Caenorhabditis elegans: one gene and its partners. The protein of the gene in region 2 interacts with the protein of the main gene of each other region in a pairwise test. Each region holds a gene or a part of one and is shown on either strand. Other genes may lie near its edges. The genes, in order: phf-34, F11D5.1, F47B10.8 and C02B8.3.

The links.
Region 1: the proteins of F11D5.1 (region 2) and phf-34 interact in a two-hybrid assay, tested with the Caenorhabditis elegans proteins (one large-scale study listed by BioGRID).
Region 3: the proteins of F11D5.1 (region 2) and F47B10.8 interact in a two-hybrid assay, tested with the Caenorhabditis elegans proteins (one large-scale study listed by BioGRID).
Region 4: the proteins of F11D5.1 (region 2) and C02B8.3 interact in a two-hybrid assay, tested with the Caenorhabditis elegans proteins (one large-scale study listed by BioGRID).

What each region holds. Positions count from the first base shown.
Region 1 is NC_003284.9:9,895,682-9,903,333, reverse strand, and holds phf-34 (PHD-type domain-containing protein), read left to right. Parts: upstream 1-3,857; 5' UTR 3,858-3,863; coding exon 3,864-3,956; intron 3,957-4,374; coding exon 4,375-4,620; intron 4,621-4,669; coding exon 4,670-4,855; intron 4,856-5,171; coding exon 5,172-5,237; intron 5,238-5,416; coding exon 5,417-5,566; 3' UTR 5,567-5,990; downstream 5,991-7,652. Other genes in the region: F21G4.3 (Methyltransf_21 domain-containing protein), read right to left, coding at 6,277-6,409, 6,457-6,527, 6,579-6,766, 7,049-7,181, 7,230-7,427.
Region 2 is NC_003284.9:3,329,106-3,337,233, reverse strand, and holds the start of F11D5.1 (PH domain-containing protein), read right to left. Parts: upstream 4,111-8,128; 5' UTR 4,026-4,110; intron 3,301-4,025; 5' UTR 3,229-3,300; coding exon 3,187-3,228; intron 3,121-3,186; coding exon 3,051-3,120; intron 2,726-3,050; coding exon 2,663-2,725; intron 175-2,662; exon of another isoform or gene 1-174.
Region 3 is NC_003284.9:10,903,557-10,914,636, forward strand, and holds F47B10.8 (MARVEL domain-containing protein), read right to left. Parts: upstream 7,261-11,080; 5' UTR 7,213-7,260; coding exon 6,972-7,212; intron 5,091-6,971; exon of another isoform or gene 4,903-5,090; coding exon of another isoform or gene 4,800-4,902; exon of another isoform or gene 3,295-4,799; coding exon of another isoform or gene 3,222-3,294; exon of another isoform or gene 3,025-3,221; coding exon of another isoform or gene 2,961-3,024; coding exon 2,827-2,960; intron 2,623-2,826; coding exon 2,529-2,622; intron 2,408-2,528; coding exon 2,298-2,407; intron 2,244-2,297; coding exon 2,164-2,243; intron 2,113-2,163; coding exon 2,036-2,112; intron 1,986-2,035; coding exon 1,831-1,985; 3' UTR 1,624-1,830; downstream 1-1,623. Other genes in the region: acbp-3 (Acyl-CoA-binding protein homolog 3), read left to right, coding at 1,178-1,271, 1,356-1,430; F47B10.9 (BTB domain-containing protein), read right to left, coding at 8,872-8,940, 9,086-9,221, 9,270-9,345, 9,394-9,480, 9,529-9,659, 10,362-10,519.
Region 4 is NC_003284.9:8,136,455-8,142,839, reverse strand, and holds C02B8.3 (DUF5354 domain-containing protein), read right to left. Parts: upstream 3,364-6,385; 5' UTR 3,259-3,363; coding exon 2,998-3,258; intron 2,939-2,997; coding exon 2,798-2,938; 3' UTR 2,597-2,797; downstream 1-2,596. Other genes in the region: C02B8.7 (uncharacterized protein), read left to right, coding at 4,961-5,119.

The DNA of each region.
Region 1 (7,652 bases), 6.6 Mb from region 2:
ACACGTCAATGACTAATTTCGAAATTGGAAGGAAAATATTGTTTCACAACACCATTGAAAAAACATTTTCACGTCATTCAAAGTACAAATGATGACAAACAATCTTGCTACGTTTTACTTGAATTTTATGGTCAGGGATCACAAATAATGAATGCGTTAATCAGAGTTCATATTTTCTTAGTAAAATACAAGGGACTTCGTAAAAAGCCCTTTATAATAATATCATTTTGAAATAATAATCAAATTTTTACAATAAAACGTTTTCATTACTTATAACTAAATTTTATGTCATTGTTCAAGCAATGCAAAGACGGTATGCTTAAATCAGCACCATTTTTTACAATCGGGTTAGAAATTGGCTGTAAATACAGGGTGGACCATAATTACGGCGACCACTTTACGGCACTGTAGCTTTTTTTGGATCATCAAAACAAGTGAATATATAAATGTTGGCTAGAAAAAATCGAACACAATGACATATTAAACTTTACACTTATCACCAGCTCCAGTCACACAGCCCTCAAGACACTCAAATTCCATTCGACGGTGGCGCTCGAGTAGGATCGATTTAGCCTAATGGAGATTTTTAAATGACATTTGTATAGTGATTAATTATTATGATTATATAATCAGAATACCCTTTTTACACCAATGCTTTTCTGAGAACATTTTTCGGAATTGGTGACCGTTGACGAAAGTGACATCTGGTGAAAGTTGATAAAGTCAAAAAATAAAGCTCCCCCAAATGTTGTGATTTTTCTTCCTTATCAGGCAACTATCCTTCATGCTTAAAGCGTTAATGTAATCAATTTAAATTTGTCTTAACTTAAAATGTCAATTTGGTTTTTAATATTTTGATATATTCCACCGAATTCACAATAAGTCAATTAAAAACTAAAATTTATGTGACCCATTTGTTGAATTCATGTTCAGCGCAAATCATCGTGTTTTTCGGATTTCAAAATAGTTCAATAGCGGTGTTCGGGTAGTTTTTAGAAACTACAAATGTTTCTTGTTTTTTAACAGCCTGTTGGAAAACAATCATCTTAATAGTTGGGAACAAAACTGATCAAAAGACTATTCTCGAAAAATTTAGATGAATTTCTTAGAGCGTCCTCCCACTGGTTTTTCGGGGAGCTACGCAAAAATTGACTAATCAATTGTATAATTGAAACTGTTTATAAAAGTTCACAACAATCGTTTGTGAAAAATGACTGTTTCGGGCAAATTTTTCGCAACTGACAAATTGCACTTTTTTGAAAGGGGCAAAGAGCTACCTAAATCCAAACATAAGTTGGCACAATGAATGTTCTTCGACTCGGGATAGGCTATTTTGAGTGCCCATAGTCTTGGTAATTATTCGAAATATAGAAACTAGTTACTTGATCACATGAGCGCAGCAGGAGACGTTCGGCTCTAGACCTTCTCTAAAATGGAGGAAAATTATAGATTCCCGATGTTGTAAGGCTCTCACTACCTTCAAAGTTGATGGAAGTTTTATGGAAACTGACTTAAATGACAGAAAATATTGTGAACTTTCAATAATATGCAAATTTGAAAATTTTGGTAACAGGGCAACCCCAGAAATCAAGTTCTTGCGCGCGTGCAGCAGGTCACCTTAATTATGGACCACCTCTGTAATAACAAGCAATCTCAAAACATTATTATTCATGCAAATAACATCAGGAATGGCGGTGCGGTCAGGTTGTCAGAAATTCACAAATTTGGAATTTTTTTTTGTGAATTAATAGATCAGTTATTAATAGAAAAAATTTTGTGTTTCTTAATCCGGAAAAATGCAAAAAAAAAAACGAAACTCGAACTTTTACAAAAGTCTAGCTGTTTTAACTACACACCGCATTACTCCAGAATTGTATCTGTTCTGTTAGTTTTGTACGAAGTACAAGTGATCGAATTGAGTTTAATGAGAAAGATATAGTGTGGGCCAAAATTACGATTCTCGATTAAGTTTCAATGATTTATTGCCTCTAATATTTTTAATTGTTCAAAATGATAAATAGCACGGTTCGAAAAAGTAAAAATTTGAAAATTTTATCGACTACGTCGATAGGAGCATTTTTACTTTTTTCAGTAAAATTTTCTCCTACTTCCTCAATTTTATGCAGTTTTTTAAAAAATATTTTTACTATGTGACCAAGTACCAAAAGTGGGGTACCGAAATCTGGGGATTATTTTTAAATGACTCCAAATTTGCCCCTGATTCCGAATATCGATGTCAAAAAATTTAAAAAAAACCCCCTGATTTTATATTTGAGCTTGAAATCGCGATTTTCATTTGTGCCCTGGTCTGCTTTTTTGAATACGCGCCGAAATAAAATATCCTTAGAGCGCGTTTGCCTCATTTAATTTTCTCCATATATTTTTACTTTTTTAACCGTTTTTCAGCTTTTTTCATTATCGTATTTTATCGTTTTTTTTTGAAAAATAATATAAAATATGGAGAAAACTAGCTTAAAAACAGAAAAAAGAAAACTTATTTGGAGAAAGTAAAATGAGGCGAACGCGTTCCAAAGATAATTTTAACAGACCCGGGCACAAATGAAAATCGCGATTTCAAACAAGCTCAAATATGAAATAAGGGCTTTTTTTATATTTTTTTCACACCGATATTCGGAATCAGAGGTACCCCACCCTTAAGAAAACGCACAAGTGATAAATCTACAACTATACACTGTGCTCACAAAATGGGAAAAAGTGGAAAAAGTTTTTCAATCACTTTTAGTGGCCAGTGAAGCAAAAAGGTATTTTTAAACAAAAAATAATTTTTGATAACATACCAACTACCATTTTCATTAATGCTTTCTGTGTCACTTTTTTACCTAAACTTCAGTTGTTTCAATCTGAGTTAATATAAAAAATTGTAGTCTTGCACTTCTTGCATGCCAGACTAACCAAAAAACACTGTTCAATTTTTTAAATCCCAAAGCATACGTTTCCTTTTTACTAAAAAAAAAATCCATTTTACTTCTGTAATTATTTTCGATTTTATTGAAATTTAAAATTTGGTTTGACTTGTCTTCTTGATTTATAATAAATAAAATTTCACCTAATGGCGTTTTCCTAAGGCAGGTGCTTAAGAAAACCGAACCAAGATTTTCTGTTTTCTTGTAACCAAAATGCAACTAATCAGGCTTTCATTTGAAACCAGAAAAACTGGATTCTGTTAATGTTATTTGTTTCCCTCCACAAAATTGTGTCAGCATCCGATAGTAGCCATAAAGGAGCACGCTTTGATGCGTTGTCCAATTTTCAGTTGTATACACTTATATACTCTTGAACGAATAATATCCACCAACTTCTTCTTTCTCTCGCGCTACACCAAGCGAAATGTCTCAGTCTCTCACACACTTCATGGTCAATCGTGACACACTCTCGCATACACACACAGCGATGGCGATTTCTTCATTTCTCAAAACCTCTCGCCTCTAGTCTCTCCCTGCTTTCCGAGGACTGCCGCGTTGTTGTGTGTATGGATGTGTGTATATTCTTTTCTCTTCTTCTCGTTTGGTTTTCTATTGCAAAGACATCTCGATTCAGACAGACACAATTCACTCATTTTATTCATGTTGAATTTGTTCATTTTTATTTTTCCTGTTCGTCAAACGGAATGTGCTTCTCACATGATGTATACTCTTAAAACTTGTTTTTAAATAGTTTATAGTGATTTCGATTGCTATCGATTTTACACAGTTCGAACAGGCAAAAGCCATCCTATTCTGATACATTTTGCCAAATTGTTTTATTTTTATTTTTGCTGCTTTCACGCTTGCTATTTTCACAGAATCTAGTTTTTGTTCGTTTGCTGTTTGAAGTTAGTTCAATTTTCATATTTGCAGGTAAAAATGGATCCAAATATTCCTGGTCCCAGCAATGAGCGTGGATATGACAGCATTATGGATGAGTTGTGCACTGGCCCGGTTACTGTTTTGGAACAGGTAATTGCTTATTTTTTAATCCCACAAAATTAAACAAAATATATAATTTGGAAGTTTTGGATACTAGTTCAAACAACCACTTCAATATTGTGCAAGACAAGAAAATAAATCCAAAAACTTGAATTATCAATATTTAATTTCAAATTTTATATTATCGAAAAAATACTATCGCACAATTTTCTCATAATTTATTTTTGTTCTACCTTGTTGACTAGGCTCCTCCCCTTCCTTCGACAAGACAACCACAACAAAATAACAACGGCAACAAGATTGGGGGCGGAGTCACTTTTAACAGGTAGATCAAAAATAAATCACGAGAAATTTGTGCGATCGTATTTTTTCGATAATATAGCATTAATCAGAAAAAATTGTGGAGAGATATATTTCCATCTTTTCAACAATTGAAAATTCAATTCAGGCTTTGGAGCAACTGGAGCGTTATCCAGAACGTGGACATCTCTACCTCGGCCCCATTTTATTCGGGCCAGAGCCGTACAAACTCCGAGCTTGTAAAACATGCATTCGTCTCGCTCGACACGGTTTATCCGCTAGTCGATTCACGGCTGAAGAAATAGAAAACATGACAGAATTGTGCCCTACCCATTTAGATGAGCAACTTTCCGAGGAACGAGCAAAAGCAAAGGCAGCTTTAGAAGCTAAATTAGTAAGTATTTATATATATTAGTTTTAATAATTTTGACTTTTGTTTTTAGGCTAAACAACTGAAACAAATGCAGGCAAAGCATCGCAAAGAGATAAAGGAAGCGGAAATGGCTAAAACTATTAGAAGTACAAAAAAGACAAAAGTCGGAAAAAATGGGAAAATCGCGAAAGTCGACAAGAAAACAGCAAAGACTGTGAAGGAAAAACAAGTTCTTGATTTGCCGCAGCCGAAAATCGTGAGTTTTGAATTAGTAATTTTGGGCTACCAAGAATGAAATCGTATGAATGATTTTCTTGATGTAGAATTATTTCGGAGTATTGAGTTCAGTTGTTTTCTATTTTACAGGGGAGCAGAAATAAACGTGTAAGAAAATCATTTATTTAAAAAAATACCAAATGTATAGACTCTTGTTAAGAAAAACAAAATGGCGTAAATGGATGAGAAGTTATTCTGAATGAAACTATACATTTTTAATCATTTTGTGAGGAGTCGTCCAAATTTGAAGAAAATATCCAGTGTGGTATTACTAATCAAGTTATCATTATTTTTAGGAAATCAACGATGAGGATATTGATCAGTACATCCTTGAGCAGGCAGCCCCAAAGAAAAAGAATGTGGTAAGTGATCATAAAATTGCAACTTTCTAGTTTTTCATTGAGTGTGCTCCGCTTTGAAAATTTTGGAATCTGATAAATGTGTTGCCATATTCACATCTTGTTTTCAAAAAAAAATTTAAAAAATGTATGAAAAGAAAAATAAAACCATAACTAATTACATTGTAAGATAATAATTTCAGACTCGGTGGATCTGTCCAACTTGCGACAAGTCCTCGAAATTCGGAAGTTGTGGATGTGTCGGATGTGGCGACTGGTATCACATCACATGTGTTGGATTCAAAAAAGCCAAGGAAGTCCCGGACAAATGGGCTTGCAAATACTGCAAATAATCAGATACAGTTTAAAATTAAATAAGAAGCTTTTTAGAATTTTTTTAGATGTTTGAAATCCTAGTAGTGTTTAAAGTATTAACATATACTTTATAGTTTTCTTCTTGCACTTCAATCAGTTCCTTCGTTACACTCTACGTTTGTCTGTATTTTAGTATAATTTCTCATAGTTACTGCATGTTGTCCAACACAAAATCGATCTTATTGCAACCCGAGTAATATAAGATGTCATAATTCCCTTCTCAGTCTGAGATTTCATTTTATGTATATTCAGAACCGAACATATTCATTGCCGTCCAATACATATTCCGGTCCTTACAGTGTGCAATAATGTGATTTTTACCTATTTATTTTATTAGTCGGTTTGATAATTTACCTGTATATGCGAGAACAATCTTTATTTATTGATAAAATATTTAATTGCATTTATTTGTAAACTTAATTCATGAACCCATTTATATGAGATTTTGTTGAGATTTTGTTGAGATTTTGGAATGAAACAATTGAAACAAAACATATTTTGCGGAGATTATTACTCCAACAACGTTATGGTAGTCGCATTTCATAAAGTTCTTGATATTGTCACTATTATATAATATATTGTAAGTTTTTGGCATGAGGTCTGCCGAGCAAGGAACACGAAATGGCAGGTGTCCTCAACCTTTTTCTCATCTATGTACAAATGTTACTTGAACAATTTATTAACAAAATTATACTAAATCTATATCATTTAAAAATGTTTTTTCTAAATATCTCCGAGCACACTCCAAAGACGACGTGTTTACCCAGAAGACTCTCAAATTACCCATATTTGTTACAGAATGTAGTGTGTATTTTTTATCTCTGTAAAACAAATTTTAAAGGAGTTTGTATTCTTTTGTGAAACATACCTGATGAACTGTAAAATGTGCTGTCGAAAAATTTCCTTGCGTGGATCGTTCATTTCTTTTGGTAAATGATACTGAATTTTTATTGATTACGAGAGCTTATGTATGTCATATTCAGAGTCTACCTCAATATTGATTTGACATACTGATATTCCTGCTTGTTCTAGTGTACCGTTCCTAGCAAGATGAGACATCATGTCGTATTCTCCACCGTCGCCTTCAAAAATTAAGTAATCAATTATATCCTTTCGAATGAGATTTTTGAAGAAAATGTCAATCCCAATGTGGTTGACAAACTTCGAAGACATTCGTTCTGAAACAGTTTAGATTATTAACAGTGTATATTATATGCAAACACACACACATATATGCAAACATGAACGTTTTAAAAGAAATTTGAATACATATAAATATTATCAATACTAATGTAAAATTATTTGAATCGTCCACGTCTGAGAAATTTTATTTACATAGGAACCTTTGATTTTCAAGTTCAAAATGCATTTCTTGTATAAAATTTTTGTTAGTATAAACAGTTCTCCTGATTTACGCTTTAAAAGAAATACATTCATAAACCACCAAAACAATTACTTACCGACTGAGAATTTAAGTGTTGCTTGTTTTAGTCCAGTCTCATTTCCAACCGCAAACGGGAAGAACGTCCCGATTGATGAATAAATTTGCGAATTTTCCATGAAAGCCGGATCTGCCCCAAAAAACTCAGAATCCTGAAAGAAAAATGGCTGAAGCTACTATTGATGTTTATTTTGAGGTACCGCTGACAATTTTTTCTTGAAATACTGTTCAATAGAAACATTTGCACCAATTCCAACCCTTACAAATGTGGCTGATGTGTCTGTTGGATTTGGAGTGAAAAATTTCAAAGCTGTTCCAGAAACTATTTCAGGTTCCATATGCCACAAATCAGTTGATGAACGACATTTGTCTGTGTAGGATCCTAACTTGTGCCACAACTGCAACTTTTGGGAAATAAAGTGAAACTCTGGTTAAAACAGTGGTTGAAATGGAGCAACACGTATTTCTATATAAGTTATGGTTTTTGGATTTGAAAACGTCATATCTGAGAGACATTGTTATTCTGTTCAAATTAATTCAAGATAAAATAAATTAATTATCACGATTCCCAGTATTTGTTAATGCTATCAATCATGATTTTACATTATTCATCATAGGTACAC
Region 2 (8,128 bases):
CGAGAAATGCATGAGCGTGAGCTAACAAATGACCGTATCAGTGGCACTATATTCTTGAGTGCTTTTTCGGATGGGCACAAAATAAGTGAAAGAAAAGCTCTTGAATGGATACGGAAAATCAACGAAAAAACGAGATGAAGACGGAAAGATCACTAAGTTCGGGGTTTAGAGTTGTTTTTATAAATTGTGGCATTATTGTATGGCAAGCTTTATCAGATCGCCTAATTATCAAAAAACTGCTTCAAAATATTTAATTCTACAGCAAGATTGCGGCATTTTCTTTTTAGGTTTCATGAAAACTAGTGCCAACATGTGGAAATATACTTTATTGGTACGTAAATTATTTTTATTTTAGATGTTTCAGTATGTTTATAAGTCTGACCATATGAAATACTCCAAAACTTTTTATTTAAATTTTTCAAATTCGTCAGTTAAATGTTTTTGGTATATTGCCAAAATTTTCCAAAATTCGAGTATTTTTGAAAATTTACAAACACTGCTGCAGATTTGAACCTCTAAAATGTTTTTTTTTAAATAATGAAAACATGAATGAAATTTATAATTTGGAAGAAAAAAATGGTTTTCGATCGACTTCCAAAATTATGATAGGTCATTTTTGACAGCACTCTCAAAGTGAACTGAAAAATGTCAACTGCCAAAAAAGGAAAATTTTCCGGAAATTCTAGAGATTTTCTACTGATTTTTTAGACAAAATAAAGACTATTTTCCGTAAAGATTTCCACATTTTGAAAATAAATTTTCAATGAAAAATATCTCAGAGCGCACCCTGAGGGAATCGCTAGGGAAAACTAACAAAACATATTTTTACAAAATCTACTGTTAGGAGAAATTAGAAAAGGCAAAAAATGAATCAACGGCTACTGGCAGATTGGAAAACCGAGTATAGCACTCCCGGCAAAAAATCTGGAAGGAAAAAGGATGAACCTGTTATTTGTTTTGCATAACATTAGCCTTTTGGTGTTAGATGAAATAAATACAAGCGCCGGTAAATACAGCAAAAAGTATGCATGCGTAACTAGCTACACCACTACTAAAATAATGCGAAAAAAAAACCAGGCGACCCAATGTGGTTATTGAACCGTCATCTGCAATCTCCGAGGAATAAATGTAGGGGAAAGAGACAAAAAAAATGAGATCTTAGATGTGCGGCTTGTGGAGAGATTCTGATATCTACGGTGTGGTCGCATTCCAATTTGACACAGATTTTACATGATGATTTTACATGAAAGACGAAAAATTAGCATAATGTGTACTCGTTTTTTTTTGTTTACTTTCTTTTTCTCATTTTCCTTCTTGTTTGGTATTTCTCGGTTTTCAAACTATACTATCAAACATTGATGATACGAAAACTAAAATGCAATAAACGTGCGAAATGTTGAGTTGACATCATAATCGATAAGCAAGAAAAAAAAAGAATATTTACAAATTTTCTTAATTAAGATCAATATACTTTATGGAAAAGCCGTAAGAAAAGCTGTGCTAGTTGAGGCAAAGAACGGGAGAGAGAGCTCGAGTTGAGCAAATACATTTGTGATCTCAGAGATTTCGCGTGAAGTTTGACACATGCCGGTAAGGAAGGAACGCTAATTACGTGAAATCAAACCGGAAGGGAATCACATTCCACGTGGGTGCGTTCGAATTGAAATTAGGCAATGATCCTATTGGAGATACAAAGAAAAATACAGGTATATATGTACAACGTATTTTTTGTCAAAATATCTATTCTTCAGTTAATTCCAAATTTTACTGCTTTAATCATAAGAAGTTAATTTTCAATCATCAAATTTTTTTGGAACTTGTTCAAGAAATCTCAATACTGATGGCAAAGTAGAGTCATATTGGAATTTTATTCAAAATTAAAATTAGAAAACTGTTCTTTACTTACTTAGTTACTTAGATAATTTTTCATAAAATATAAGTTTCTAAGTTATTCAGACATCCTGCCTGTAAAAAACTTGATAACTCGGAATTTCGCTAAAACTTTGAAGTTGGCTTAAAAACCAATAATTTAATATGAATTGTTTTTTTGCGGAAAACTACCTGAAAACTTGACAAACTGTGTTTTAAATTAAATATTCAAGAAAAACGAAAAACCGTCATAATATGTCGAAACTAGGTCATTCATTTCCGCGCTACTTCATAAAAATAATCATCTAATGTTTTTTTTTTGCAAAATTAAGAAAATGTAGAAAAATTTAATGAATTTTTTCAGTTGCATCGGTCATTACGCTCCATTTCCAATAATTTTTGCAAAATTCCAAGACGACTCTACTACAATGTCTTTTGGAATGTGAATTAATTTTTCATTTCGGAGTCAATGAAATCAATGCAGCTTTAGAAATTTTGAAACTTAAAATAAATCAAAAAAAGATTTTAATGTGATTTCAGCAACGCATTTTGAACTGTTTCAATTTTTCTACTTTCATGTTTTGCAAGAGTTTAACCTATATGTTTTTCTTTTTGTTTAGACAACTGGGCAAACAAATTCAGTTTCGCTGACATGATGATGACTAACTCAAGTCGTCATTTTATTTTAGAACAATTGTCATTCACTCTCATTACTTCTCGACGAAAGTCATGGTGCCACGTCAATTTCAAATGAACTTTTTTTTTGAGAGAAACGTGTTGTAAAATGACTCACCACTATTCGGCGACTCCAAGTTCCCTCCAACTTCCGAACTTTTCATCTTGAAGCCGGTGTCAGCTGCAAATTGATACGTTTTTTTTTTTTAAATAAACATCTATTTTCAAAAATTCCTAATAATGAATTAACAAAAATTAAAAGTCATAAAAGTTCAAATGCAGCAAACGACACGGCACGCTCACCAAACAAAATGCACATTCAATGGGAGGTTATTTGGTGCGTGTGTTGGTGATAAGATAGTAAAGTTATCACTGTGTGAACGACGGTAGAGGTTTAGACAAAAGAACAACTATCAAACAATTTGAACCGATTTTTTACTATTATGGAGCGCTTTTTTTTATGAATCAGAAAAATAAAAGTATTGTTTGAATATATCAGTGCTTACATTTCTTGGTGTCGGTATCTCTGATTATAATCGGACGCCTTCTTATCAAACGCTTTGCTGCATTGTCCTGCTGAAAATGACAAAAGTGGGTGGCAGTTTTGAAAGAGAAGTTATTGTTGGTTAAAAAAAAAATTACCTTGAGGAAAGGGTTTTCCGCAATGTTTCCATTGCAATCCATTTCTTGTTTTTTATTTTGTTTTTATGAAATACTTCTTTCAAGGAACAAAAGTTTGATCAATCGTTCGTTTATCTGTAAAACAAATTAGGTTTAAAATACTTTTGACTGTAAGTTTTCAGAGCAATTGCAACATTTTGTTAATTTCGGTTTAATAGTCCAGAAGTTCGACATATTAAAAAATATTTAACTGGTTCCAAATTCCAAAACAATAGTTTTTAGCTAGCGGAAAAGTTTCATTTTTTATTTCACTGAGGTTTTTTTCAGGCGTTGAGATTATTCTAAAATTTACCTAACAATAAGTTATTTTCAAATCAACAAGATAATTTTCTATTGCTTCACAATCATTTTTGTCCTTAAAAGTTGGACGAAAATTCCAAAATGTGATAATTTTGTAGGTGTGCTGAAACAATTTAAAAAATGATTTTTTAAAGGTCGAAAATTTCCGAAAATTCCGAAATATCAGAAATTTTAAATCTCGGCAATTTCCAAATTTTTCCAAATTTGGATATTGTTAAATTGTCAAATTGCCAAAATGTTTGTAATTTGGCAGTTGTTAGATATAATCTGAAAATTTTTTAAGCATTTTGTTTTTCAAAATTTTCAAACTCGACACTGAAAGCCAAATATTCCAGTTGCCAATACTTTTTTGTTGTCGCTCACTTAGTTTTTTCAAACAACAATATTTTTTAAATCAAACTGCACTTCAAGTTTGAAAAACCCAAATGAATTTTTATTTATTATGAATATAATTTTCAACCATATTTTGGTTTCAAACAACTTCATAATAAAACACTTACGTGGGAAACTTTTGCCGTTGCGCAGACTTCGTATCCTGTGAAGGAAACTGAGCGATGGCAGTGGTTTCCAGTTTAGTGGTTTTCTGGAAATAAACGTATTATCGAAAGTTGGTAATTGGCAGTCAAAATAAACGGAAGTAGACATCGACAGTTTTGAAACACAAACCAACCAAAAAAGGAAAAAAGAAAAGACAATTTTCGAATTGTGGCAGAATTAGGTGCGTTGAAGAAGACGTTGAAAATGAGGAAGACACAATTGAGGACAAAAAGAAATTAAAATTTGTTACTCACATGTGTGACTTTGTTGTATTTTGATCTCGAAGTGTTATATTTGAGAGTATAGGAAAAAACAAGTGTGGATTTTTCAAAACTATTAGAATGAACAGAAGGACTGATGTGATAGCTGAAGAACCCACATTGTTTCCACTAGTCGAACCGCAATGATCTACGAACATTATCTCATAGCGCCGCGCAATTATTCAATTATTCCACTTGCAATGATCTTACGAAATGAATTGAATAGTTGAAATAGAATACAAGAGAATCTGTTAACCCATATTCAAAAAAATCCTTAGTAAAAAAAATATAAAATCTTACGAAATCTACACAACACGACACGATTGTTGGGCAGGAGGACGGCAGCGAAAAAATGGTGAATAGAAAGGTCAGACACGGTGGTCCGCAAGTGACTCGGTATGCAATTACACCACACTGTCCACACTGTTAATTATTCCCCTTTTCATATGCATATTCCACAACTGTAGACTTTTTTCTTCTGATTACAACGGAAGGAAACATTAAATGACACACATTCACAGATTTCGAAGAAAAAGAAAAAACTGTTAAGATTCATTACCCATTGTTCGAAAAAAAGGGGAACGTGGTGGATGAGATGGAAAGGTGGATAAAAATTGTGAAGTAAAATCATAGAAAATAAATTATATAGTTTTTCGATTAGTCTTGCACCATCATTGCTCAACTTGCACGGTTCATATTACCTAGACTATCAATTTTGTGATTTATTACGCTAAAAGTAAGTACACGGTTTTGACACGACACATGCTTATTCATTGCACAAGGGGTAGTGCGCCTTTAATTTTTCAATGATTTTTCGCAGTTTTCCAATAAAATTATGTATATTTGTCTATTGAAAACTTAAAAGTGGAGTAGGCCAGTTTTTATATTTATTTTTTTATAGTTAATTTTTTGGAAGGAGTCGATCAAAAAAATGTTGCATTGAATTTTGTTGTCAACTTATGTACGTTTCAAATACTAGTATTCAAAGATTGTAGGGATTCGAACATTCGACAGTGCTACGGATTTCGCAAAAAGTGGTAATACTCAGTTATTGCAACTTTTTGAAACAAAATAAAATATTTTCCAAAATTTTGTCGAAATTGTTTTATCACAGTAAAAAAATATACGACTTTTTCACTGATTCTCAAAAGGAAATTCACTCGGAAGCATCGAACAAACAAAAAATTCAAAACTCTAAACTTGACATAGAAAAATAGAAACTTTCGTATTGTCACCTGACCTACATCAATATAGGAATTCAAATCTCAAATTCAAACAGAGTCGTAAAACAAAGTTGCGGTACTGTTTGTGTGAACGGTTACCAATGAAGAAGCAAAGCTCAATGAGCACATGTAAACTCACACGCCACACTACACTTTCATCTCGTCAGTAATTCGGGTTAACATGGCATGACGCCCGCTCGGTGAAAAAGATCAGGGAAGATCGCATTTCGGCAACCGGAAAAAGGACTAGCCGCTTGCACTGTGGACCGATACTGCGCACACGTATGTGTGCTTGCTTTCACATTTCACCACTTTCTCTCTCTACCTCTATTTCCTCTCACTTGTCTCCTCACACTGACTCAATTTTTGCCATAATGTATGTCTCTATTTGTGCTTCTGCCAACATTTGTAAGAATTCTTCATCTCTCGGGAAAAAAATCGAACTGCTTCGGTACGTGTCCGAGCAGAACTCTTGTTTAAAAATGAACAAAAAATGGGTGGAAAAGTGTTAAAGGGCGGACAGAATGCTTTACATGCTAATACGCATTATCACATTCTTCACGCCCCATCTTTAAACACCTCTACTTCATTATCGAAAACGAAGCTAATCTATGCGGAAAACTTGGGAAAATGAAGACTACTCGTTACTACAAAAAACTAAAACAAAAATGTTGTCTGTCCGTTTTAGTTTATTTTTCAGTTTCTTTGTGCAAAAGTAGCATTGAAAACTTTTGTTGGAAACATGATTCAACAAAGATAGTTGTCCGTAAAGTGTGTTCAAAAGGAATAGTAGATACGATTGGAACAAACATTGAAATATGTGAAATATGTGAGGAGGAAGAGGAAAAAACAAATCAGTGAAAACTTTGAAAAACATGTTTTATTCTGAAACTATTTAAGCTCATTTAAGATTTTGACAGATTAAAGGTAGAGTAGCGCCAGTTGGAAAATTGTTGAAAACCACTCCCAAGGTGCCAAAGGTGTAAGGTGAAAGTGGCAATTACTGAGTTTTTGCCACTTTTTGAGAAAATCATAGCACTGTCGTATGTTCGAATTCATTCACAAATGAAATATTAATATATGAAACTTAAGCAGATCATAAAATTCGAAGGAAAACGTTTTTTTTGAATGAAGACATCTAGTGACTAAAATTGAATTTTGCTTACAATTAGTTTTCAAACAATCAATATTAATTTTAAAGATTTTTCGAATTTCGCAGTATTATTTTTAGTCACCGTGGTGCCATTGACAGGTTTTTAGGCAATTGTTTCCACTGGAGTGCTCATATGCTCCAAAATATAGTTGTCTAATATGACCGAATATCATAGTAAAATTCCAAAAAAATTTGGCTAAATATTTCAAGAATGTATACTTTTTTGGCAATTTTGAAAATTTCTGCAGGTGTAAATTGCTATAATTCTTTAAAACCCGAACAAAAATTGTGGGCTTCCGAAATTATCTCTGAGTCTTCACCGCTTTTAGAATTAACACAACACAAATTTGAACATTTTTTCGAAAATTGTTTTACTAGATATTAATTTTGGTAACAGACAAACTTCAAATAATTTTTCATATGGCAAAACATTTATACTCAAATGACTGACAACACACAATGAACCGTACAAAAACTTTGTTCTCATGTTAACACACGAAAAAACACATACACTTATGTCAGCGAAAAGCATCAGACACATAAAATTACAGTACATTACGCATGGGATGAGGATTTTGCGCGAGGAAGATGATGGTGATGATGTGATCGAAAACTGATGGTAAATGGAGAAACGAAGAGTTGAAGATTGTTGGCTAGAGGGTGGAAATAAGAGAACATGAAGCTGCTGAGGATGGAGAAGTAATATGCTGGGAAATTTCGAGTTGAAAGCTTTCTTGGGAAACCCGAACGCGTGCATCTTAAATTGCATTTTGCATTGCGGTGGGCACAAATGCACAAACAACCTCTAATGAAACACCAAGAGCTTTTTGAAAATAGGATTGGAGACGGAAAAAGGAAAATGTCACTGTAACCTTAACCTCAACCTTTTAACTTCTTGGCCAAATACCCGAAGAGAATAAAAAAACCAAACGAATAGTGTCCTAGCGGCAGTTAATGAAGGCTAATATATCTTGAAGAGGATGCGAAGTGATCGGAGCCCAGCACCATAAAACAAATGACCTTCGAGATGCATATGGTTGAGAAGTGAACATTTGGAAGTACTAAAGTAATTTGAGATGGAGTTGAGCAACATCACTCGCGGACAGCCCAACAACAGCAGAAAACCGTGTGAGGGTCTTAGTCTCACCTTCCAAAGGGGAGGTTGTTATTGTGTGTGTGTGTGTGCGTATATTGACGGAAGAAGGGCACCTTGGGCTCGCGCACTGCTCATCTTACCGCCACGAGTTGACTCTGATCAATAGTTTGATTGTTTTTGAAGGTTTCGGTTAGTGCACGACGTTTCACTGTGTAACTGAATAAATGAATTTGGACAGTTTGAAATGAAGACGTAAAGTATTTACGGCGGTTGTTTTTTCCGAGAATTGAACCGATGACCGGATGAATGGAGAAAAGTGAATAATTACTGAATC
Region 3 (11,080 bases), 7.6 Mb from region 2:
TTTTCATTATTCCTTTGTCTGATTCGAAAAAGGGGAATTCTTTTTTTCTTATTTCATTGACAAATGAGTCATGACCGCGTGGCTAGCTAAACTGCATCAGAATTGCGTGAGTTATGTGTGTTGATTTTTTGACCGCAATATATATTAACTTATCGCTATGCAACAAATGTCGGCGTTGTGTCTGCAAACGATGCAATTATCATTTTCTTCGAATATGGTGCCACAAAAAACGAGTAGGAACGGATGATTGTGAAATTATCAATAAAAAGTTTTGAAGAAATGTAGAGTGTCGTTTCTGATCATTGGTCTCTTCAAAACCATAAACTATGTTTGAAATACCCCTTAAAAATAACACGAAGCCTGTATTAATGTTTTCACGTTTGTAGAAACATGGATTCAAAAAATAATTCCGTTCATGGGTACTTGTGTAGTTACTGTATCCCACAATGTATGCAATGGATAAAATTCCAAAATGACCACAACGTAAATAACCATTTTAATGCTCAATTCATTTTTAGGTTTAGATTTTTCCTAAGTCTAAAATTCAAAAAGAACTCATATTGTATTTTTGAAAAAAATTAAAAAGATTTTTTGGTGTACTGATATTACACAAGTACTCGTTCATGAATAAAAAGAACGAACCCATCAAACATATGTGTTGGTGGAACATTATTTCAATGCTGGCGATAGTGAAGGTTTTATTCTAAAAGGCAATAATACAAAAAAGGCAATTTAAATACAAGTATTATTTAAAATCAGAAAGTTTCAAAAGAACGAGTGATCGTATCTAATTATAACAGTCGTGATTTTGAAACATCCATAAAAAGGTAGTATATCTTGTAATGTTTTCTATTTATTTCATTGGCTGGCGCTAAAAAAAAAGTTGTAAAAGTGTGGAGTGCTAAGATCGCAATTCTAAACAGACTGCTGGTATAATTTTTCAAACACCGATTTTTAGTGCACTTTTAATAGTACACATTTCTAATAAAATGTACAATAGTAATTGAAAAAGTTAGATGGGTCAGTTCCAATAACTCAAAATAGTTTAACTACTTGTCTGAAAATGGTACGTTGCGACTATTGATGTTGAAGCCATGTAAAAATAACAATTAATTCCAACTGGCTCACAGTATTTACTGGCATTTTCCTGACCAACCCCAGTTAATCCGATTTCCAGGGACTCATGGAAAGAGCTCGAAGGAGTGTCTCAAGATGAAGCTAAAGAGCGTTATATCAAGGCTCTAAACGACATGTTTGACAAAATCGCCGAGGTATGTGAATGGGTCTTGTCGGCAAACGTTTGAAGTTTTTGTAGCAGAAACTAGTAGTTACGTTCAGAATTACTTTGTTTTCAGGAACTTGATGTTGCCGCTTGGCTTGAACAAATTGACCCAGTCATCAAAACCAACCTCGCTCTCATTGGAAAGTAAATCTTAATTATCATAAACATTTTTTTTTCAAATTTCGAACAATATAATTATTTGTATTGCTTCTTGATACTAAATAAATATGAATTAATTTTGTAAATTGAATAACTCTATAGTTTTACTGTACATTGGAAGAATCTTGCATGAAAATGAAAACTATGAATTGCATTTGTAATAGTGAAATTTGAACATTGTATGTATACATAATTTTTATTGCAGTAGAGTTGAAACTGTGAATAAATTTTAAATCCACAATATAAAATAAAAATGAAAATCAGACGAGCACCCGAGAAGGAAATTAAATGAATTCGGAATACATAAGAGATCAACATAATGTTTGTGTGTAAGAGATAGTTCAATAGAAAGCACGAGGTTAAACATTTCAGATAAAACATTGCAAAGGTTATAAGCGTTCCTTTTTATCCATTTCCTCTCTCTTCTTGTCTTCCTGGTATGCAAAAAACTGAAAAGTGCGGTAGACAACATGCAAAAATATGCAATTTATGACTATAACAAACGACATGGCAGCCATCACACCCAGTGTGACCAGGATTGCAGCTGAAAAATTTTGAAGTATAAATATTCACAAGTAGTATAATCGTTCTCACTGGTAACACTTTCTCTTGATCGGAAGTGATACTCATCTGGATTTGATCGCAAAGCTTTAAGATTGTCGAGGATGTTCCTGTAAATATAGTTGTTTTTAGTTTGTTCCGAGTCTGTTAGTTCCCAAAACCTCGATACATCACTAGTTCCCTTCAACATGTGGTACACAAAAACCAGGAACAAAATTATCATGCCAAAGTTCCATATTACCTGCAACATAATTATACGTTTCATGAAAAAGAACGAAGCAAAAAATAAACATACATTGTAAAACAAGTACGGCTTCAGCAATCCCGAACGTTGCTTTGAGACACCACAAAACAGAGTCAGCAGAGAAATGCAGTCGAATATAAGAAGGAACGCTTCGAGATATCCTGCAAAAAAGAAAAATAGAGAAAAGAATTATATGAATGAATTACAAATTGGATTTTGAATAAATTTAGCAAAACAAGTATGCAAATAGTTGGTATAAACAAGAAATTGTGACGTGCTTACCGTTTAGACCGAGTTTTGAGATGCCCATAAAATATAGAACAAGGTTTATGATAAATCCTAAAAAGGCAAATACTGCAACTGCTCGGCACGCTTTCTGAAATGTTGTTGTTGTTTTTTAAACATTATATTTCAACTTTCTTTTATTATCTGCATCGTAGAAAAACTATTCAAATCACATTTATAGTCAACAATTTTTAAAAAAATTCACACATTTTTTTGCAGTCGCTTATTCTACTTTATCTGAAAACTGACTATCTGCTGAAACCAGTAAAAGGGAACACTTTATATGCGAGCTTACTTGAATATGACAAGAATTGCAGCAATAACTGTTGGGAGGAATGGGATCTTCCGTGAAACCCAGGCTCACGACAGTTTCCCGTTGCGGCGTTTTCATTATTCCGTTTCCGTTTCCGTTTTCATTTCCGTTTGCATCTGCAAACATAACAGTGTAATAGTAGAGATCACGATAGTAGATAATATTTCGGTCCTTGCTCATGAATGCTCAGAATGTGCCAAAAGTGAATGCACAACATCTTGGAAAGAAAAGATTCAATAACAGAAGTGTGCGTCCTAAACAATGTTGAAATTGAATCTTGACCACTTTTTACTAACTTTGAGAGGATAAATGTAAAAAAGAACTGAGCATTTTTTTATGTTTTTAAAATAGAAGTGTAGTAAAGAAAATCGACTTACAATGCGGAATCTTGATAATTGGACAGTCAGGGTTATCTGATTCCAAAACAACTGAATACGGCTCAAAATTCATCAGACACAGGATGGCAGAAAATAAATCAAAAAATGAAGAAAATTTTGTAGAAGCTTCAACAACTCCGTGCACAGAATTATTTATTCTAGAATAGCGTGATAAAAACGATCGTTTTTGAGTTATCGGCAACCTTGAATATTCTAGTATCAGCAGATTTTCAATTTTACGCAGACAGACTTTTTATCCAAATTTTGATTTTTGAGGTGAGCAGTATATGGATATGCATGTGTGTTGTTTTGGGCACGTCTTGGATTTAGAAAAAAACATAAATCACTGCCATTCAAGCGCTTCGTCTTCTTTTTTACTCGGTTGAACACACCACAGGTGATCATTTAAACACAATTCGGTTTTGAAAAATTAAATATAATTTGAGAACTGTTGATGAAATGATGATTTTGTTGGGAATGATGATGAAATAAAAATCGAAGCCGTAAGTGCTTGAAAAATTTTTTTATTAAATATTTTCACAATTGATTTTACCATGTCCATTTGCCATAGTATTTTCAAAGCATACATATTTTAAATTTTTGGAAAAAATATTGGAGGCTTTGCGTTTCTCCCCGCATTTAATGCACCACCAATTGCTCCAATCGTGCTTTGAAAAGCTCATCTACCTTCGGCGCACTTTTCACGCCCTTATCAATGATAGGTGGCGCCTATTAACCGATATTTATGTGGTCCAATACGTCTTGCCTGGTGGTAGATCAGTTGGGGAGGAGATGTGTAATGACGAAAGAATGAGGATGGATATTGAGGAAGAAAAGGTAGGTGAGAGGCAAATAAAAACAGGAGAAGAATCCATTTATCATTCGGAAGCCTTTTTGTTGATAAGAGTTTACACATTAGAGCTTGAAAATGAGTGATTATGATTGCGGAAAGTGAGAAAGAGATTGAGATTGTTGACTTCTGATAGTGATATTGATATCATCAGCCACAACAATTTAGAGTAGAGTGAAAGCATAGGGCATGCTACTGCTATAATTTAAGACTTTCCGCCAATTTCTTCAAATAAAAAGAAAAGAAGAAGGACCTCCCAACCGGAAAGTATCAGGTTACCTGGTGGTGGGAGTAGAACAACAAATGAAAAGAAGCAAAAAGAAATAGAAAACACTTGTGATAAAAACGACTTGTTTTGTGGTGGAGACAAATCCGCTAAAATGTGTTCAGTTTTACCACCGAGACAGATTAATGTGGATTGATGGTAATCTGATAAGTTACAAAGTTTCCATCTTTGATAAGCAGGTTAAAAAACATTTTAATATTTAAAATGTTCACGTAATGTGGAAAAGTCTACGTTGATAGAGATAAATTACAAAAAAAGCTCACAAAGCTATATGGTTGTTCAACAGGAAATAACTTAACAGTGATGCTATCGGATTCTTGAAAGATACACTTCGAGGAACACATCCGAGTGATTTAAAAATACATCACTCTAGAAATTGTAGTCAGAAGAGTAAGCTACCTAGTAGTCATCCTTCTATTTATTTCTATCTCATTTGTATTACCTTTTAGAACGATGATGCCGGGAATCGAATGAATATTATATTTCTTCTTCATCAACAACTTGGGCATACTCGAAGAACGCTTCATGCCATTGTCATTGCGCATTCTTCTTTTCCAATTTATTCGATTCTTATATTTACTTTTTTCACGTTTTCTTCTTTATTTTTATTTTTGAAAAAAACGAAGACGCCTATTATGGAATAGAACAGAATCAAAATAAAATTGTCAGTTCTTCTTTTTTCTCGAACACACACACACGACGCAATTTCTTTGGAGAAACCTTGCGGCTTCAACACTTCGTGTGTGTGCCGAAAACAACAGTTGATCCGAAGATTTCTTTCATGGTGTCAATGAGATTTGGAAAAGGGTGTGCGTGCAAAGAAAGTAAGAGTTGAGATAGAATACGTTCGAGAAATTTAGGAATATAAGTTGCCTTTTAAATTTGTGAAACTCGATTGACACTTTACTTTTAACATGAGATTCCTTTGAAACACTTTGTTCCTATTTACTTGTGGAATGTATCAGAAAAAGAATTGATGGGGCGTATGCTAGTTTAAAGTACGGAAAGAAATAATCTTATTTTTTGGTAAAAAATGAAAGTTTCAGTTCAGATTTCAAAGTTAGTTTATCTAGATTATTTCAACTAGAGAAACATTTTTATTTTCTATTTCATGAAAGTTTTATTTATTGTCTGATATTGTTTTGGAAATGTTTCTCGTTTTCAGTTTGAAAATTTTTTACTCTACAATTTTTGAAGTGTATGCTTTTTTTTCAGGATTTACAAGCCGACGATTAAGAGGGAATCGGCATCTAGAATAACTTGTGAAATTTCAATATCAAGCAAAAGTTGTTAAATTATCATTTTAATTTTAATATAAACATGTTCCTTGAAATTGATTTATAACCAATCATAGATTCACGCCATTACCAGCCAAAACGTTCGCATAAATTAATAAAATATTTTTCAGTTCAAGTATTTTTGAATCTCATGTGATATATTCTGTCTTAGTCTTGATTGATAAACTAAATTATGATTGGCTTGTAGTGATGCAAGGCTATTAGAGGCTGCACTACAAATAGAGAAAATGCAGTAACTATCTAACTTGTTGCAAAGTAAAAGCAATGTTTCTGAATATACGAGGAAAAAATAAATAAATAAAAACTTCCCATTTCAGCACCAAATGTTTGAAAAATTTAAATCTAACTTTGAAGTAACAGTCACTTTGTTGTCTAATTGTATTTGTCACTTGATTTCACACCCATTGAGTAATTATGTTTCCTGCTACTTTGGTCCTTAAGTTCTGCCAGACCCTGGACTCTAATTCAATGAATATCCACTTGTTAACCGCTAATCGACCCCGCAGATGACACAGCAGCGAAATGATCGATCATCGTTCGACAAGGACCCTTTACGTCGGCTTGTCTTGTCGGACGTGAAATCCTATGTTTGTTTTAAACCGAGATTCATACTTTAACATCCGTCACTGGTCCGATTAGAGAGTACAAATGGGAAAGGAGGGCAAATGAGAGATAGATGTTGCTATCACATGAAATGATTATTGGTTGGACATGCATGTGTGTGTGTGTTGTGTGGATAATAGTGATGAGTTCTAGGTTCACAAAAATTGTTGTATGGGCGAGAAATTGATGAAATGTATCAGACAAATGCAATGAGGTCAGCTGCTTTTGAAGCAATCTTTTTGGATTTAAGAAGGAAGTTCGAAAAATAAATCTTGGAAGAACCAGAATTTTTTTGTAGCAAATTAGAAAAGTGAAACCAAATGTTTTTCAAAATGTATCAAAGTTCAAATTTTCTACCAACTAGTATAAATAAATTTTGTTATTTTTAGAACTGGGCAGAGTAGTAAAAAAATTGGAGTTGATCGTCATAAAGAAAGTTACAAAATTGGAGAGTTTACACTAAATTATTACATAAATATCCATAACGGTCAAGGAACTACGTAAAGCTAATGAACATACAAAAAATAAAAGGTGCTTGTGTATTATAACCCCATATTTGTAAAGTTTAACGTTCAGCCTTTAAAAGTGACATTCGTTTTAATTATTAGGCTCAAGAAACGATATTTTCCAAGCCTGATAATGACAATTCTATTCACGTTTCAAATAAGTTGACAAATAAAATAATTACTGAAGTACCGAATAAAATGACTTACGTGATCGCAATGATGTTTGTCTCGGCTGTCTTGGAAGACGATTTGCCGTAGGCATTAATGTATTGCCGTATGTAACAGTTCTGGGAGGTGGCGTTGGCTTTGGTGCGGACACAATTTCTTTTGATATCCCATTTTCATCTTTAGATCTTTCAATTCGGATCGATGGAATCGAATGACACTGTGCAATCGTTGGTGCTGGAGTTGGTGTCGGACATGGCGGTGTCCTCGCATTGCGCGCCATTTGAACTGAACAGATCTCTTCGGGTGGGTGTGGTCTCTTTGGCACAGACACACGGATATCAAGGAGGAGTGCGAATAAATGCCTCTACCACAGGCAGCTCAAACTAATTGTCTTACACCAACACAACTGCTGTCACTATCGGCGCTTTTCACTAAACGATGAGCACCTCGTTGGTGCTTGATACCAGGTACAAAATAAAAACAAAACTCTTTTTTGTTTGCTCTTTTTGCCCCTACGTCTCGTCTTCATGCCACCGGTGGTGGTCGCGAGAGGTGAGAAGTAAATGATTTATGAAATTTATGGTAATGGATAGGTCGGTCAAATCTTGCATCGTTTATACGTGCACTTACCTAGTCGCGTTTTGAGAGGAAAATATTGGATACTTTTTTCACAGAGCATGAGAGATTCAAGAGATTTGCACATATTATCATTGAACATTAACAGTTGTCGTTAAAAAAAGAATTAACAATGCACACCACAAATAAAGCGTTGTAATTTCAGGAAAATCAAATATTTAGCATGACTCAAAGCTTAACGGTCTGGAATTATTAAAAACGATACAGTAATTTGACTATGAGAACAGCTCAGCTGATCGAAGAAAAACAACTTTTATGAAAAAGAACGAAAACAAAATTATTAGGATGAATTGATTGAAGTGAATAGCCGTTTTAAAACTCTCAACCAAACCTTTTTTTAATGATTAGCGGATTAGAGAAACGTTTTGACAATGTGGTGCATATTTAAATGATGACAGCAAAAGTAATACATATTTAAGTATGATATAAAGTCAAATTTTGGCGCTCAAAGTGAGAAAATATTGTGTTCCACGCATTCGAGACCTATGCCTTCGTTCAGATTTTACGAGTTAATTTTTATTAGCCAACTGGATGCGGGGTTATAAAAATTTTCAAATTCTCCGCAGCTAGGTTTTAAAATTGATTTTGCCGTATTTCTAAAAAATTCAATGCCAAAAAATCACCAACAGAAATTTATCAGAAAATTCCATGGTTTAGATTTTTAAGTAGATGGTGAGTTTTGTGACTTTTCAAACAGTTTCTCAACCGTACTGTTCCAATTTAATTCCAGGCGATGCTAACACTTCTAAAAAAACATACAAAGTTAATTATAACTCGGTTATTATTTCAACCAAATATTATTATTAGTTCTAAAGAATAAACTGACTTTTGAAATCATCCTTGATTTTATGAATCCTACAACCTATACATATGTCTGTTATCAGCGGCTAAAATACCTTTTTTTTGTTGTAAACTTGACTTTTTATTTGTATATTAATAAGATTACTTATGAAAGAACTATTTCCCCAAATTTTGCTATACAATTTTACGGTTATACGGTAGTTTTGTGTGAGAAAAAAACCAATTCAGTTTAAATCCTTCAATTATTTATTGTATAACCATTATGAAATATTGGTACAGTTGGGATATTTTTAAGTGTCTTTAAGTTGCAAAGGTAAAGAGGTGTAAACAATACAAATACAGAACACGCAAAAATGTACAGAAAACATGGTTGAGCCACATGAGATGAGATATACAGTTTGAAGTATTCAAAAAGTATGAAAAATCAATTTTCAGAAAATACAGGTTTTTGTCATACATTAATCAGCAGACGAATTTAATAACTTGTTCAATTATAGGTTGTTCAAAAAAATAAACGAGCTCGAGTATCATTCCAATCGAAAAACGATTGGGCTCTTGGTTGATAGGAGTACTGAAATATAGAGTGTTTAGTTTATATTAGTTTTTACCTTGCCTAGTTATCATATTTTTGTAACTTGTTTAGAGTTAAGTTTAATTTTTTGAACATGGATTAAGATTTTTTCAAATATAACATAAAAACCAAGTCCAATACTTACTGGTCTGAAATGAATGATTCTCTCGGCAAAATAACTGCGCATGTTGGCATCTGAAATAGCGGCTACTGCTTTATCAACCAACGAGATGTTTTCGAGCCGTGCAATCTTCTTGAAAATTGGATCAATATCACCGCTACTGTAAGAGTACTGGTTTTTGCCTTTTACTGGGAAACGTTTGACTAACGCGTAGCACTGCGTGTGAAGAAGGTAGCAAAGCTGAATCAACGACTCCGCATCGTACAACTCATTTTTGAAGTCATCTGAAATTTTTAATAATTTCGTCACATTTGTTTGAGAAAGTGAGTTACCGCTTTTGAAATATTTCTTGATTTCTTGCTTAACCCATGGGAAGATGAGACGATCCGAGAAGTAAACAAGAGGCGTGATGTTTTGTTCTGAAAATATCGACTGTGCTTCATTTTTAAAAACGAAAAAAAAATTACGATTGATAGTGCGGTCAAATTCAAATCCTTCCGGGCACACGTATGATAGGAACACCACAAGTTCATCTGTGTATACATCATCAAGAGTTACTTTTTCGGATGTTTTTTCGGTGTATGAACCTGTGCGCAAACTGAAATGTTTAATATGGGATCTTAAGTTGAATACAATTTTTTTCACGGCTTCATTGGGTTTTAGTTATAGAGTTTCCCACATTTTTACAAAAACCAAATTTTTTGTTGTTCCTTTTAAGTTTATCAAAGTTTTAAAATTTAACTAGAAGTAAAGACCAGAGTAATAATTTTCTTCACCTAAAAGTAAGAAAAAGCTGTCTTCTAAGCACATTGGTATAATTTTTTTGTTTGTATGTGAACCTTTTTTCTTATTTTTGGTTTCCCTAGTTTTGTGGGCCAACAGCCGTTTCGGTTTTTGAATTTATTCTCAAATTTATTTTTTTTTTTGAAAATCATCAAGAAAAAACAACTTCCACCTTCCAGTTTTGGTATAGGTCAGGTGAAAACAGTTTTACTAAATTTTTTCCATGGACTCATTGAAGTTGGAAAACCGCCCGTTAAGGAAAAAATTGAAAATGATTTCTGATTTTAAAATATTCAACTATAACTTTTCAAAAACATTTTTAAAAAACGACATTTTTTCCAACTCAAAAAGGGGTGACAACTCAGTTTTTACCTATTTGTTTTGGAAGTCGTCGAGTTTCCCCGCCTTTTTAAGTCTAAATAAAAAATATTTTTGTTGGTTTTTCAAAGATTATTCTATCTTTAAAACTAAATGTGACAATTAAATATTCATAATTTTTTTCAATAAAAAAACTTACATATGAAAATACTCTGACAGTTCGGCCAAATAGCTGAGGTTTACATAAAGTGTGTCAGATTGTGTGTCGATTTGAAACTTTCGTAGGACGGTCTCAGTAGAAAAAAGACTGATTTTTTCTCTAATCCCATCAAGAACCGATTCATGAATTGCCACCATCTTGATCTGAAAACAGGCAAATTTTTAATGCAAAAACGGAAAACCGCAAGCTCCAAAATGTTAAATAACACAAAAAGAACAATAAGAAGGTCAATATGGAAACTAGTTTTAAGAAAACGATTTATTTCCCAAGAGTTGTCAAACTAGCATTAAATTGAGTGTGTTCACGTAGAGAAAACATAAGATAGCGGAGACTTTCATGAAATTGACGTTAGAAAGTCATTCAAAAAAAATAGTGAAAAGGTAATTTAATGCTGCACTGTTTATGAATCTAATCCTGAAAACAGATTTTTGTGTTGTTAGAACATCTTAAACAAAAATATTTAAATTTTTAAATCTGTGAAGTTTCGCTGAGTGATCCAAGTCGGTAAAGTTGGTTGAGTTAGTATTTGGTTGTTAGTTGTAGTTGTTAGTTAGTAATTGGTACATAGCTTTTGGAGGCAACAAAAAACAACAACAACACCATCTACGGCTGACCTCGAAGTAAAAACGCGTCACATGAAAAACCTGTGACACTAAATGTTATCATACTATTTTTGTGATTACAAAGGGAATTTTCAA
Region 4 (6,385 bases), 4.8 Mb from region 2:
GAGTTTAAGAAGGCAATAAAAAAAATTCGACTACACCACCTTTAATCTAAAGCTGAACAAATCAAAAATGTTGAACAACATAAAAAAACGGTGAGACAACTTTCCTTGTAAGATAATTTTTTGTTAGAGCACTCCCTACTATTTCCAAATTTTCTAAAACAAAAATCCCCCTTCAATATTCTGAAGAAAAGCGTGAGGTTTTCCCTTTTAATTAAAGCTCTCTGACTGTTGCAAACTTCGTTTCATTGGAAGAATTGAAACATGTTGTTTTTTTTTTGATTTTAGCTATTCCTGGACGTTCAAAATTGAATTTCATTTGGAATACATACGTCAAAAATGAATTAAATTTCTATTGGGCAGTGAAAAAAGTTAAGTTTTTTTAATTAAGGAAAGTTAAAAAAATATACCGGTTATAAATATAGAATGCGTTTGAACTTTTCCCTATTAATTGGCAATGGCGTCAGTTTTTTAGCAAAATAGAAAAAAGTTTTGAAAGGTTATTATTGAAAGAAAGATGTTAAGTGTTATACAATTTATTCGAATTTTTCGAATAAAAAAATAATTTAAAAAAATGAAAAAAAATTTATGCAGTATATGTGTCATACGTGGATAAAGTCATCGACAAAATGCCAAAAATTATCAGTTAACAAATAAATGAAATTTCTTTGAGAGTCACATACCGAATGAATATTATTTAGGAAGAATTTAGGTTTCAAATTGTTATTTAATGTGTTTAGAAATAATTGAAAAGCATGCCATATACTCATGAAAACAATTCACAACAGACAAAAGTGTGCGTGAAAACTTTCGATATTAAATTTTGATGTTTTTTAAAATATTTAAAACTAGCAGAATAACTCGTATACTCTGTTGACATATATTTGTTTGACACATTCAAACAATATCCGTCCATTCCGTCCATTCGTGTCCATTTATTTTAGAGATATGCGATCGGAACAACTGTTCAAAATTTTTGCCGTTCTCTAATATGCAATACAACAGATGGGTCTGTAAAAAAAATGATTGGCACAACAGAAATACAGCCGTGATTAACACTGAAAAGAATTGTTGTTGGTGTATGCTTAGTTTTCTAAAGAATGAAAAATGAAAGCACGCAAAGTTCCGAAAAATATCTAGGCAACAATTGGTGCATGAAAAGTGTCAACTGAATATGTCTGCAAGCTCACTGCTGCACGTTTAGAACAATGTCGTATATACAAAGACATAACTTTAAAATACAAACATTCGAAATTAAAACAAAATACAATTTGCAAAAAAAAATTCCCTTGGCGCTACTTCTCCGTGAAAAACGCATAATTACAAACTGATTAGCCACTCTTCAAACTTAACAGATAGTTTTTTTCCATCTCATCTAGTTTCATTATCCCTGAAAATGTGTATGGAAACGTTTGTTTTCCCTGACAAATGAACATTTAAAATTTTCAACGAAATCATTGCATTTGAACGATCAATATTTTACAAAATAATGAAGCTGAGCTGAATGATTTGAATATGTTGTTGAGCATTTGATTACTTGCATATTTTTTCGATCCTTCAAATTTCACACATATATAAAATTTAAATAAATAAATTCCTCGCCCTATATCTCTTAGCATACTTAAAAAGCTCCCCCAGTGAGCAACTTTCTGACGCTTTTGCAACCGCACCAGATAATTTTGTAATTTCTCTAATTTGTCTATTCAAGTTCATGATCAACGGTTATCAACGTTATCCTGTGTCCCCGTTCCAAAACATCGGTATTAACATTTGCGTGGAACTACTCACATGCTCACTGAGCTTGAATAAAACTTTCTAAGCCTCCAAAAGTGCACCTATATGTTTTAGATGAATAAAATTAAGCCATGGTAGATAACGTTAGTTTTTCTTGCAGCATTGGGCTTTGACGCGTTTGTCATCGCTTCAGATTAAAAGTTTTTTTCCATTGTTATTGAATCAAGCAGGACTGAAAGATATTCAACTCAAAAACAATTGAAGCATTCAAAGGAAATGATGATCACAGGAATTCTGCAAATTTTGATAGTTCCCGTCATTTTAAGCGGGATAAATACTGAAAATTGTGATGTTCTCAATTCAAGGATTATTTGAAAAACACAATTAAATTATTGGAATTACTTCCGCAAAACTACAAGATTAAATTTCAATAAAGATGTTTTAGAAGATTTTTTTTTCAGGATTTCTTGGAAGCAAAGTGAAGAACAAATTTAGTTCATTTCAAGTTCGTTCTGTATAATTTTAATTTTTATGTTTTCAAAGTTTTTTATTATTGGAATTGATAAGTCTAATTTAAATTTTTATGTATTAATGTAAACTTGGACTTTCATCGACATTATGCTCTGCCTCAATGCTTTTCTTATTCTGGTTTTCCCATTAAGAACATAGCCTATCCACGTCACAGTAATGACCTTATTGATTACTAAAACAAGTTAAGCGAAAATTTTTTGTTGGCGTCTGTAAAACAAATCTGTTCGTAGTTGTTATAATTATAAGAAACAACTTTTTTTATAGTTTGGAAAACAACTCCCCATGCAAATTCTTTATTATGTACCCCTGAAAATTTAGCAATAAAAACTGCGGTAACAGTTCACATTTTTATTCTGATTGTTTGTAGCCTTACTGCAACAATTCTTGTGAAAATTATAAATAAATTAAAGGAAAAAGGGCATTCTTTGAACGACAGTACAGGAGAATTGAGAGAGTGAAGATGTTTGGAACATTCTGGAAGCACGAGTGAGGGCACGGTTTCGAACAACAAGGAGTAGGAGGATTGGAGCACAAATTAGAAGTTAACAGCTGGGATTGGGCCCTTGTTGAAGTCAAGAAAATCCGTCAACGTTTTCGGCAGGTTGCAACCGTCTCTTTGACACAAACATCTCAGGCTGACTTGGGATGGGTGGTTGGCTTTGTGGAACTGGAAGGCCTGAAATAAATGTCTCATTAAAATCTGTTTCAGTGTTTCTTTCTGTATTGATAGCTTACCTCTTGTAGACAGACATTTAAAACAGCGTATCCTGGAAGTTGGTTGGCAAACATTGTCAAAATAGTGGTGTAGTCGTCGCTGTCCATTTGAACTCCATTCACGTGGAACTTGTTGTAATCTTTTGGGGATGGCATGTAGCTACATAGTTGGTACACGGGGTCACTCATTGTATGACCTTTGGAAAGGTCGTCGGAGTCAATGGGCTCCCAGCAACGGATGAGCTTGGTGAGTTGATCTTGGGCATCTTGGACAGCGTTCATGGCGGTTGAACGGGAACCGAAGGCAGATGCCAAGACGAGAGAAGATATAAGGATTTTTCTCAACATCGAAGAAGCACGAAAGAGTTAAGCTGTAAAAGAATTCAGCTTTTGGCGAATACTGTTCTCAGCGCTGTTTGAATATGAAAGCTGAAAGGGCGGAGCAAGAATTCCATAAGGCGGGGCTTACAGAGTCTTTGGAAAAGAGACGTATAAGATATAAGAGAAACAAAAGTGCAGATTGAGTGACGAGGAGGATTGCAGGGATGAGCATCATATGAAATGAAACATCCCGCCCACTTTCGAAGTGTACATGGCACAAAACCGGTTACAGTGTGTACCTGGCTCTGACGTTGCCACTCCGTGACTGACACGCAACAGAATCTGGAAAAAATTTGAGAAAATTATCACTTGTTATGTCAGTATCCAAAAAAAATGTTACATATCTAATATATAATCAAGCGTTCATGTGTACACAGTCGAAGCCAATTTCTAATGCATTAGTTTTTGGCTGAACAGAAGTCGAGACAGCTTTGGATGAGCTCAGATGTTTTTGGGCTAATACGTCACTATATTAAGTTTAAGAAACTATTTGATACAAAATTTATAGAGTTAGTTTGATAGTTAAAGGAAAGAATCCAATTTCGGGGGAACATTTGAATTGTACTAACATCTAGAAACTCATTATTTTCAAAACGAATTTTCCAAAGTGGTGTAGTATAGGATGAATGATATGTGTTATGTTGGTTAAACGAGAAACATTCTGAATCTTTTTAAAAACTATGATTAATTTTCTCCCAGAAAACAGTGTCCTTTTTTGCAGTACCCATTTTTGCCATTTTAAGTGATACGAGTTGTGTACGAGACCTTACGATGAACTACACAATAAGCATGAAGTGTTGTGGTGCATTATATTGAGACAAACTCAATCTTACATTCATTTCAAAAATTATTGATGCACATATTTTGTTAATTAACGCGTTTCATAAAATATGTACACACTCATATATTTTATCAATTTCGCACAATGTTAATAGTTTCAAACAAACTTCCCATTTGTGATAATTTAGCTTCAATGAAAAAATCTTAATGTGCCCCTTTTTTATCTAACGAAAATCTGAGAAATGTTAACCGAAATTCAAAAAATCAAATCTTCTTTTCATTAGATTTTTTAAACTTTACCTAATTAATCCCTAAAAACCTTTTGCAATTGAAAGACTGAGAATAGAAATAACATGCGTTGATAAGCTTAGTTATTAATGTTTCTGAAGCTTTTCTAAGTAACCTCATAAGTGGCTTTTTTTCGTTTTGAGAGAAAATTAAATACTGCAATTTAGTAGCCTATTTTTACGTGATTTAAAAAATATGAAGAAACGTCAAAGCATATTACTGTTTTATCTGAATTTCTAAATTAATAAGCATGGTGCTCACAAAACAAAATTAATCATTTCGAAAGTCATGAAATAACGAATCTGCATTTGACCAGCGTGTGTTTTGAAAAGCAGGCATAGGAAGCCTTGATAATGTTCCATTCAATAAATTTATTAGGGCTGAACTTGTGCAAGAATCTGCAGATAAATGCCGATTATTGACTCCGACAACCTTTCCAAGGGCTATACAGCGAGTGACCCCTTCTTAGATTTTGAGAAAAATCCTAATATCTTCTCTCGTCTTGGCATCTGCCTTCGGTTCCCGTCCAACCGCCATGAACGCTGTCCAAGATGCCCAAGATCAACTCACCAAGCTCATACGTTGCTGGGAGCCCATTGACTCCGACGACCTTTCCAAGGGCTATACAATGAGTGACCTCGTGTACCAAGTTAGTAGCTACGTGCCATCCCCAGAAAGCTATAGTACCGTGTAAACGAAGTTCAGATAGCCAGCGCCGACAACATCAACATATTTTAAAAGTGTTTCTATGAGACACTCATTTCAAGCCTTCCAGTTCCACAAAGCTAATCATCCATCTCAAGTGAGCATGCATGTTTGTGCAAAAGAGACGGTTGCAATTTACCAAAGACGTTGACGGATTTCCTGGATTTTAATATGACCTCAATTCCATCTGTTGGTTTCTAACACGTGTTTTCGGTTCTCCGATCCCCCTAGTCCGTGTCGTCCAATTCCCTTTCTTTTGATGTACTTCCAGAATGTTCCGAACATCTTCAGTCTCTCAATTTTTCTTTATTGTCGTTCAATTAATACTATGTTTCCTTCAATATTTTTACAATTTTAACAAAATTTGTTTCAATAAGGCTATAAAAAAATCTGAATAAAAATGTGAACCGTTACCGCAGTTTTTATTCTGAAATTTTCAGATTCAAAGAAGCTGCTTGGAGATAGAAGAGTTTCAGTTCAATTTAAAAGGTTAAATAGATTCTTACGGCGCTGAACTCGGTAATTCTACAATATCGTCATTCCAAAGTGCACAAAATCAGATTTGATTAGCTCGAACAGATTCGCTTCATAGAAGCCTACGAAAACTATTGTTTGACTTGGTCGTCAAGCAACGAGAGCATCACGGTGACGTTGCATTGCTTTTTTCTTATTTAAAAACACCAAAATAATCGAAGCATTAGTGCGGAACAAGATATCAAGAAAAGTACAAGTTATTTTCGATACATCAACATTTTGAAATTAGACTTCTGGAAATTTTCAGATTTAATCGTTAGCATAAAACTGCGCAGAAGTCTTCAAAGTTCTTTATAAAATGAGGGTGACGTCACAACTTTCTAGAAAGTGAATTTGTATCGATTCCTGACTATCAAGTGTGAAAAATTTGTCTGACACCCTACCACTCTGTACATACGTTCGATGTCTTTAGACTCCACATTCCTATTTGCTTTCCATCACTCAGCAATGATTCCTGTGTCTCCTCTTCTCTCTCGCTCAACAGAGTGAATATGCATTTGTCTCTTCGGGGTCACTCTTGTTGCATATCGATAGTACGTGCACAATGTATTTGACGACACATTGCAGACATTAGCACATTTGCATGTTTTCAATATCATTTTATCAACAATTTCTAAGCAAATTTTAGAAGAAATGAATTGTGATTTAACACAATATGTTTATCAGTTTAAAAAAAAAAATATTCGTACAGTACACATTGAAAAAATACAATTGCATGCAA